2 linked regions of the Oryctolagus cuniculus genome follow. The protein of the gene in region 1 interacts with the protein of each later gene in a biochemical or structural test. Links are inferred from orthologs where the notes say so. Each region holds a gene or a part of one and is shown on either strand. Other genes may lie near its edges.

Evidence for each region. The genes of interacting proteins can lie anywhere in the genome.
Region 2: the proteins of MIS18BP1 (region 1) and MIS18A form a complex in vitro, tested with the Homo sapiens proteins (2 studies listed by BioGRID). The link is inferred for Oryctolagus cuniculus from reciprocal best matches to the Homo sapiens genes MIS18BP1 and MIS18A.

The regions. Positions count from the first base shown.
Region 1 is NC_091443.1:30,730,707-30,735,385, reverse strand, and holds part of MIS18BP1 (mis18-binding protein 1), read right to left. Parts: intron 2,172-4,679; coding exon 2,008-2,171; intron 1,470-2,007; coding exon 1,321-1,469; intron 1-1,320. UniProt on the Homo sapiens protein: Required for recruitment of CENPA to centromeres and normal chromosome segregation during mitosis.
Region 2 is NC_091435.1:12,608,570-12,613,248, forward strand, and holds part of MIS18A (protein Mis18-alpha), read left to right. Parts: intron 1-1,574; coding exon 1,575-1,697; intron 1,698-4,649; coding exon 4,650-4,679. UniProt on the Homo sapiens protein: Required for recruitment of CENPA to centromeres and normal chromosome segregation during mitosis.

The DNA of each region.
Region 1 (4,679 bases):
GTGAACCAACGAAAAAAGGAAGACCTTTCTCTCTCTCTCACTGTCTAACTCTGCCTGTCAATAAAAAAAAAAAAAAAAAAAAAAAGACCTTCACGAGGTATCTTTCTCTGAAGGGAGGAGAGAACGTCCACTTTGATTATGGCCTTGTCTAAATAAGGTCGGAGTTTGTGAACTCAAGAGGCTTCTATAAGCCTTGGCAGCTCATGACAAGAGCCTCGGGTGATTACTGACGTCATAAATAAGAGTGTCAGTTGTTAAATCAACAAAAGTCATTGTGTACTTACTCCCTATGCAGGATCTCCTTCCCTAATGTACTGTACTATGCAAATTAACGGTAAAACTAATATTCAAACAATACTTTATATTTTCTGTGTCTGTGTGGCTGCAATCTGTTGAAATCTTTAGTATATACTAAGTTGATCTTCTGTATATAAAAATAATTAAGAATGAGTCTTGGTGAAGAATGGGATGGGAGAGGGAGTAGGAGATGGGATGGTTTGCGAGTGGGAGGGAGGTTTATATTTATTAAATAAAAGTTTTCTGGCCGGCGCCGCGGCTCAATAGGCTAATCCTCCACCTAGCGGCGCCGGCACACTGGGTTCTAGTCCAGGTCGGGGTGCCAAATTCTTTCCCGGTTGCCGCTCTCCAGGCCAGCTCTCTGCTGTGGCCCGGGAAGGCAGTGGAGGATGGCCCAAGTGCTTGGGCCCTGCACCCACATGGGAGACCAGGAGAAGCACCTGGCTCCTGCCTTTGGATCAGCGTGGTGCGCCGGCCGCAACGCGCCAGCCGTGACGGCCATTGGAGGGTGAACCAACGGCAAAAGGAAGACCTTTCTCTCTCTCTCTCTCTCTCACTGTCCACTCTGCCTGTCCAAAAAAAAAAAAAAAGTTTTCTTAAAAAAAGCTTTTCACAAGTAGAAGAAAGAAATTTGAGAGAAGTCTAATATCTTAAATCATTAAATAACCTTTTTTATCACAAACAAACAAAAAAAAGACCTTCACTAAGCTGAGGTTATAATTCTCTACATTTTCTTTAGGAATTTTTTTGACAGGCATTTTTTAAGTTTAATTTTTTTACATGTACAACATTCACCCATATGGAATTTATTCTGATGTAAATATGAGCTATTTGTTGAATACTACTGAAATATTACTGAATTACTGATTGTCCTTAATATCTAGGAATTATTCATTCTTGATTGTTTTTATAATGACCATTCTTCCCATTAATCACATCTTTGCCCCTGAACTCATAAAATGTTTACATTTTCTGCAGTGTGCTGATGGAAAAGAATTAACATACCAATGCATAAATGTTTACCTATTTATGGAAGCTAACATGCCAGGACTGACATGCTGACATTGAGGAGTTTTTGCCAATGGAAAGATAACTGATGATGGAGTTGTTGGATTTCTGTCCATATTTGGCAGAATATCATCATCATCTTGACTGTATTGGAAACTTGGCAACTAGAAAACAAACATTTGTTATCAACAGGCACTCAAAATATGGATTTTCTCATGATCACAAAATGTTTTCTGGTGGCCTCAATTATTTCTAGGTTGATGACAGAGGATTTTTCTCTAAAAAAGCTTGATTTCTCTTATGTAAACAGAAACTATAACTCCTTTTCTAAAGGTTGTGTAGGGGCTAGCATTGTGGTGCAGCGGATTAAGCCTCTATTTGGGATGCCAGCATCCCACTCAAGTCCTAGCTACCCTGCTTCTGATCCAGCTCCCTGCTCATGTGCTTGGGACAGCAGTGGAGGAAAAGCCCAAAATACCTGGGCCCCTGCTACCTGAGTAGGAGACTGGAATAGAGCTCAAAGCTCCAGGCTTCAGCTTCTCAAACTGTGAGAATAACACATACCAGCAGACTGCTCACTATATCACGCTTTGGTCGTAGATCTGTGTAGGCTCTCACTCAATGCCCTTAACAATAACCACCAATTAAAAAAAATTAAGGTAAAGTCAATATAAAGAAAAGAGTGATGTTTAAGATCCTTACCAGTACTCTTCGATTCTGTAAAGGTGTTGTAGTGCTGAAAAAATCATCATGGTCATCTTTTGGCAACTGTTCCAGAAATTCCCTCATTTGTTGCTTCCTTTTTAGAGTTCCCACTTTGGCAGTTATCTTAATAGTTTGGTTCTTGTCAGCATCACCTCTCTTGCCTTAAGATTCAGCAAAACATTTGGTAAGGATTTGATCATTTATAGTAAATGCTCTATAAAGTTAACTGCCTCTTGTAAGTTGCCTATATAACAAATGATTCCTTCTACACTGGGATGTGTGTATTATAATAACCCCACATTATAATCATGAAGAAAATATGTAAGAATAGGCAAGGTAAAGTTCAAAATGCTTGTAAGCTATGAGAATAACCACCTTCTACAACTCACTCTCCTGAATGCTTAATTTATCGATAAAATATAAACCTAACTGAATTATTATAGGGATGCTGGATACTCTCTAAAGCTACATATAGGTAGGAAAAAGCAAGCTAGGTTAGGTTAGACTTCGATAGACAGCTATAGGGGGCTACACGATGAGAGTACCGCTAGTTACTAAGCAACACAAAAACTAAATACATAACTTAAAAAGCAAAAATCTTGGGGCTAGTGTTGTGGTGTAATGGATTGAGCCAATGCATGCAAGAGCGGCATCCCATATTGGCGCCAGTTTGAGTCCTGAATTCTCCACTTCTGATCCAGCTCCCTGCTAATGCACCTATCTATGCTAGAGACCCATGGAAGCTCCTGACTTTGGCCCAGCCCAGCCCTGGCCATTGCAGAGTGAACAGTGGATGGAAGATCTGTCTATCTGTTATTCTGCCTTTCAAATTAATAAATCTTTAAAAAAATAAATAGACTACAGATAAAGGATGAAAGCTGGCTGAGCCAGTAGATTGGATAAAGAAATTACGGGATATGTACTCTATAGAATACTATACAGCATGGCCGGCGCCATGGCTCACTAGGCTAATCCTCCACCTTGCAGCGCCGGCACACCGGGTTCTAGTCCCAGTCGGGGCGCCAGATTCTGTCCCAGTTGTCCCTCTTCCAGGCCAGCTCTCTGCTGTGGCCAGGGAGTGCAGTGGAGGATGGCCCAAGTCCTTGGGCCCTGCACCCCATGGGAGACCAGGATGGGTACCTGGCTCCTGCCATCGGATCAGCGCGGTGCGCCGGCCGCGGTGGTCATTGGAGGGTGAACCAACGGCAAAGGAAGACCTTTCTCTTTCTCTCTCTCTCACTGTCCACTCTGCCTGTCCAAAAAAAAAAAAAAGGATGAAAGCTTAGGACCTTTAGTTAACAAACGAGAAAATTGGAGATGGAGACATTTGGAACCAGAGAGTGCCCTTTTGGAAGGAATGATAGGTAAGAAGGCAAGATGGGCTCAAAGCAAGATGAACACTTTTCTTTCTTTTTTTTTTTTTTTTAAATAATTATTTTATTTATTTGAAAGAGTTACAGAGAGATGGGGTTGGAAGGAGGCCTTTGATTCCAATGGTTCACTCCACAAATTTGACAATGGCCAGAGCTGAGCTGATCCGGAGCCAGGAGCCAGGATCTTCTTCCAGGTCTCCCACACGGGTGCAGAGGTCCTAGGCCTTGGGCCATCTTCTACTGCTTTCCCAGGCCATAGCAGAGAGCTGGATCAGAAGTGAGCAGCCGGCCGGCGCCGCGGCTCACTAGGCTAATCCTCCGCCTAGCGGCGCCGGCACACCGGGTTCTAGTCCCGGTCGGGGCGCCGGATTCTGTCCCGGTTGCCCCTCTTCCAGGCCAGCTCTCTGCTGTGGCCAGGGAGTGCAGTGGAGGATGGCCCAGGTGCTTGGGCCCTGCACCCCATGGGAGACCAGGAAAAGCACCCGGCTCCTGGCTCCTGCCATCGGATCAGCACGGTGCGCCGGCTGCAGCGCGCTGGCCGCGGCGGCCATTGGAGGGTGAACCAACGGCAAAGGAAGACCTTTCTCTCTGTCTCTCTCTCTCTCACTGTCCACTCTGCCTGTCAAAAAAAAAAAAAAAAAAAAAAAAAAAGAAGTGAGCAGCCAGGACTCGAACTGGTGCCCGTATGGGATGCCACCACTGCAGGCTTTGGCTTTAACCTGTTATGTCACAGAGCCAGCCCCGTACACTTTTCTTAAAGGGCCCCATACAAACTTTCCAGAGGATATAAAACCCCCAGATCATTTCCCTTCATTGGATTTTTTCTTACTGAGAAAACCCCTCATGGTTGCTGTCCAGGAGTCTTCTCTCTCCTCTTTTCAGTAAGGCCTTTCTGTTTCAGAAGGTCCCTCTCACGGGCACGTGGCTGTGAAAGCTGTTTGTTTACTTCAATAAAACTTTGCTAAAAATCACTTTCTCGGGGTTAGTGTTGTAGTGTAGCAGGTAAAGCTACCGCCCACAGTGCCAGCAATTCTATATGGGCAACAGCACAAGTCCTAGCTGCTCTGCTTCCGATCTAGCTCCCTGCTAATAGGCCTGGGAACAGCAGCAGAGGATGGAAGAAGTGCTTGGACCCCTACCATTCACACTGGAGACCCAGAAGAAACTCTTGGTTCTGCATGGTCCAGCCCTAGCAGTTTTGGCCTCTGCAGATGGAAGATCCATTTCTCTCTCTTTCCCTATCTCTCTACCCCTCTAACTCTGATGTTCAAATAAGTGAATCTTTTAAATAACATT
Region 2 (4,679 bases), on another chromosome or scaffold:
TGGGAGAGCAGAACAGAGTTCTAGCTCCTGGCATCAGCCTGGCCCAGAGCTGGTTGTTGCGGACATCTGGGGAGTGAACCAACCAATGGACGATCGTACCCATCCCCCATCCCCATCACTCTGCCTTTCAAGTAAAATTTTTTTTTAAGTCTGAGAAGAAAAATCTCCACTTATTAATTTGCTGTGTTAGGTCTAAAATTTTACTGTGGATTACTCACGTAGTGGCAAATTGAATGAGCCAAGTCAGCAAGGCTTTTTGGAAACGGTGATTCTGAGGCAGATTAAGGAAGACAGGTTGACAGGAAGGGAGTATATTCAGATGTTGCAAGCCAGGCTGAGGAGAGTCCAGGATGAAGGAACAAGTAAGTGGAGAGGCGGCGGGTCATGAAGTACGTGTGAGTGACCTGTGTGGGGCGTGCCTGGGGTTGCTGGGAGAGTGCTGGTGGTGAGTAGATCCTTTAACAGGCAGCTCTAACACACAGATCACAGGCACACATCCGAGACTTTTTAAAAACCCCTTAACGAGGGAGCTGGAAGCTGGTTCAGGGTCGGCAGATCGAGTTATGGCCCCTCAGCCTTTGGGGCTTGCTTTGCTACTCACAGGGATGGTTTGTGTCCCTGCCAGACTAAACTCACTTACGGTGCATTGGTGGGCTTTCTTCAGGCTGTCATTTAACTTTAGAGGCTTTTTCTAAACTGGGCTGTGTTAGCTTTCTGCCAATGCGGGGGCAGGCAGAGGCCCTGGGCTGGATGCCTCTCTGTGAACCCAGGTGATTGAGTTCTGCAGTGTCTGTAAGCTGTTTTCGTGCCGTGACGGCAGAGGCCAGTAGTAAGGATTAGTTATTCTCTGCGTCATTACACAGGAGTTGCCTCTCCCTGCCGTTGTTGGGCTCCTTGGACAATGGCATTAAAAGGACGCATAGAATCTTTTTGTCTTATTTCCCAATTTTCTTTATAATCAAAGAGTTTACATTCTTTATTTTTCTTAAGATTTATTTATTGAAAGATAGCATTACGGAAAGAGGGAGAGAGAGCTTCCATACGCTGGTTCACTCCCCAATGGCCACAGCAGCCACGGCTAATTCAGGCTGAAGCCAGGACCTGGAACTCCATCCGGGTCTCCCATGTGAGTAGCAGGAGCCCAAGCATTTGGACCATTTTCTGCCACTTTCACAAGCATGTTAGCAGGGAGCTGGATTGGAAGTGGAGCAGCTGGGACTTGAACCTGCCTCATATGGGATGCTGACATCTCAAGCGACAGCTTAACCTGCTGGGGCACAGCCCTGGCCGCAGAGTTTGCGCCGTAACACATGCACTTGATGGTCTCCTCCTCTTGTTGCCGTGTGCATGTTCCTGCCGTCAGATGTGGATGGCAGTGTGGCTGTCCTTGCATTTCTATTATAAATGTCTTACTCTCATCTTTTTCCTTCCTTATATGAATACATGTAACTAAACATGGTCAGAATGACAAACCCTGGAAACCTGAGTGTTGAAGCGTTTGTGGGTGCCAGCAGTGGGTGTTCTGTAGCAAGTTGCTGCTTTGCTTCCTAAAGCGGTGCTATGTCTTTACGCAGCGTCCTCGAGACCCTGTACTGCGTCGGCTGCTCCCTCAACCTCGGCTACATATACAGATGCACCCCCAAGAGCCTTGATTACAAGAGGGACTTGTTTTGCCTCAGTGTTGAAGCCATTGAAAGGTAAGTTTGATATTTAAGTGACCGCTGGGTAACTGACCTCTCAGAAAGTTAAGTTTGCAGAGAAATTGCTATGAAGACGTCAGAGCTAAACCACGCTTAAACGACATTTCCAGGTAGTACTTTCTGACATTAAAGCCAGTTAATTTCTCTCTCTGTCTCTCTGTTTTTCTCTTTGCTTTGCTCTAATTTTTTGATATTGGAAAAATCAGCACTCCTAAATTGTGGCTTTTTTTTGGAGTAAAAATATGTTCTTTTTTGTTTGTTTGTTTTTTGACAGAGTGGACAGTGAGAGAGAGACAGAGAGAAAGGTCTTCCTTTGCCGTTGGTTCACCCTCCAATGGCCGCCGCGGCCGGCGCACCGCGCTGATCCGATGGCAGGAGCCAGGTGCTTCTCCTGGTCTCCCATGGGGTGCAGGGCCCAAGTACTTGGGCCATCCTCCACTGCACTCCCTGGCCACAGCAGAGAGCTGGCCTGGAAGAGGAGCAACCGGGACAGAATCCGGCGCCCCGACCGGGACTAGAACCCGGTTTTGTGCCGGCGCTGCAAGGCGGAGGATTAGCCTAGTGAGCCGCGGCGCTGGCCTGTGTTCATTTGTTTTTAAAAATGGAATGAACTTGAGAAGGATTCTTTTTAAGTATTTTCTGGGGCTATGTCTCAGTGGTTAAGTTGCTGCTTGGGATGTCCCCAACCCATAGGACAGGGCCTGCTTTAATTCTGATGCAGCTTCTTGCTGATGTAAACCCGGGAGGCAGTAGATGCTGGCTCAGGTACTTGGGTGGGTCCCTATTACCCATGTGGGAGACACAGACTGACTTCCAAGCTCCTGGCTTCGGCCTGGGCCAGCCCTGTGTGTTGCAGGCATTTGGGGAGTGAACAGTGGATGGAAGGTTCCTGTCTTTCTCTGCCTTTCAAATAAAATGAGAGTAATTTTTCTAAAAAGCGATATTGTGTTACAGAAGAAAATACGTGGGAGGTTTTACTGCAGGAGATCATGGTTGTCAAGGCTGTTTTTCCTGAACAGTTGATTTTAGGAGACAGGCTACTTCTTGGGCAGAATTTTTTTTAAAAAAATAAGTTTGTGTGTGTGTGTATTTTTTAGATTTATTTATTTGAAAGGCAAAGCCACAGAGAGAAGCAAAGCTACAGAGGGAGAGAGTGAGGAGAGAGAGATATTCCATCTGCTGGTTCTCTGCCCGAATGGCTGCAAGGGCCAGGGCAGGACAAGGCCAAAGCCAGGAGCCAGGAGCCCCATCTGGGTCTCCCACATGGATGCAGGAGCCTAAGGACTTGGCCATCTTCTGCTGCTTTTCCAGGTGCATTAGAGAGAGCTGGATCGCAAGTGGAACGTTAGGGACTAGCACCAGCACCCAAGTGGGATGCTGGATTTGTAGGTGGTAGCTTAACCGGTTATGCCACAGCACTGGCCCCTTGGGGTGGAATTGTAATGCCAGGGCTGCCCTCTGTGCCATTTATTTACAGTTTTATCAGTTGCTCGGTGCCATGTCATTTTCCCACCGCATCTTTGGTTTTCTAAGTAGGATGTCGGTTGCCTTCTGCAGTTTGCCTACCACGCTATTTTCCTCTGCCTTGCCAGGCATATTGGCAGAAAGCTGGAGCAGAGACAGAGCTGCGGGGACTCCCGCCAGCACTCCGCTGTGGGATGCCGGGAGCTGGCGCCACAGCCCTGGCCCCTCGAGTTTTCTTTGAGAGATGCTGGCATCTCCGTCCTTACTGTTTAGATGTAGCTGGTTGCCAGCCCAGAGCTGGTTTCCCTCCATTGCCAGCTGATTCTTCTGCTACTTCCTACTTTCCTAAACCATCGCATCTTGTAACAATGAGAGGCAAACACAGTGTAAGTTGGAGAATAACTGTTACAGTTGCTGACATTTGGTTAATCAAGTATTGACCACCACAATTTATTACTTAAAGTCTCATTTAGGAGCAGGTGTTTATCCTACTGGTTAAGGCAGCTGTGTTCCACATTGAAGTCCCTGGGTTTATTTTATTTTATTATTATATTTTACTTTAAGATTTATTTTATTTATTTGAAAGTCAGAGAGAGAGAGAGAGAGAGGTAGAGCCAGAGCCAGAGAGAGAGAGAGGTCTTCCATCTACTGGTTTCCTCCCCAAATGACCACAGTGGAGCTGAGCTGATCAGGATCCAGGAGCCTCCTCAGGGTCTCCCATGTGGGTGCAGGGACTTGGGCCATCTTCTACTGCATTCCCAGGCCATAGCAAAGAGCTGGATTGGAAGTAGAGCAGCCAGGACTCGAACTGGTGCCCATATGGGATGCCGGCACTGCTGGCCAGGGCTTTCACCGCTGTGCCACAGCGCCGGCCCCAAAGTCCCTGGGTTTAATTCTGAGCTCCTGATTCCAGCTTCTGGCTAACGCACACCCTGGGAGGCAGCACATAGTTGGCCCAAGTAGTTGGGTCCATGCCACCCACGTGAGAGAACTGGATCGAGTTTCCAGCTCTGGCCATTGCGGGCACTGGGGAGTGAGACAACAGACGGGAGGTCGTGCTCTTGCTCTCTCCCCTGCCCCTCTTAAGTAAAAAATTGGAAAAAAGGTCAAATTGGAAGTGGCACATGTTTCTGACGTTAGATAAAGCAAGACAGGGGAGGCTTCTTCCGGGTCCTTAGGTGGCTGAGCTATGAGTGATGATGCTTTGCCACCCAGTTTGCCTAGAGCAGGTTTGTGCCAGTAATGAGATACTTGTAATGCTGGAGAATTGGGATGTAGAGCTGTGCAGACAAAGCCGCTGTGGAGGAAGGCATGAGGTACGTAGTAGAGCTTCCTGCGTGGTCCCTCTTCACAAGAATAGCTCTCTTTGCTGACTTGGTGTTGATCTACTGTGGAATGTACTTAGAGTGCTCATGTTATTAACTGCCATTCATTTAGTATTTGTTCCCTTACTGCATCTTAACTTTGTTCTGTGCTGTTCCTCAGCTATGTTTTGGGATCCTCTGAAAAACGGAT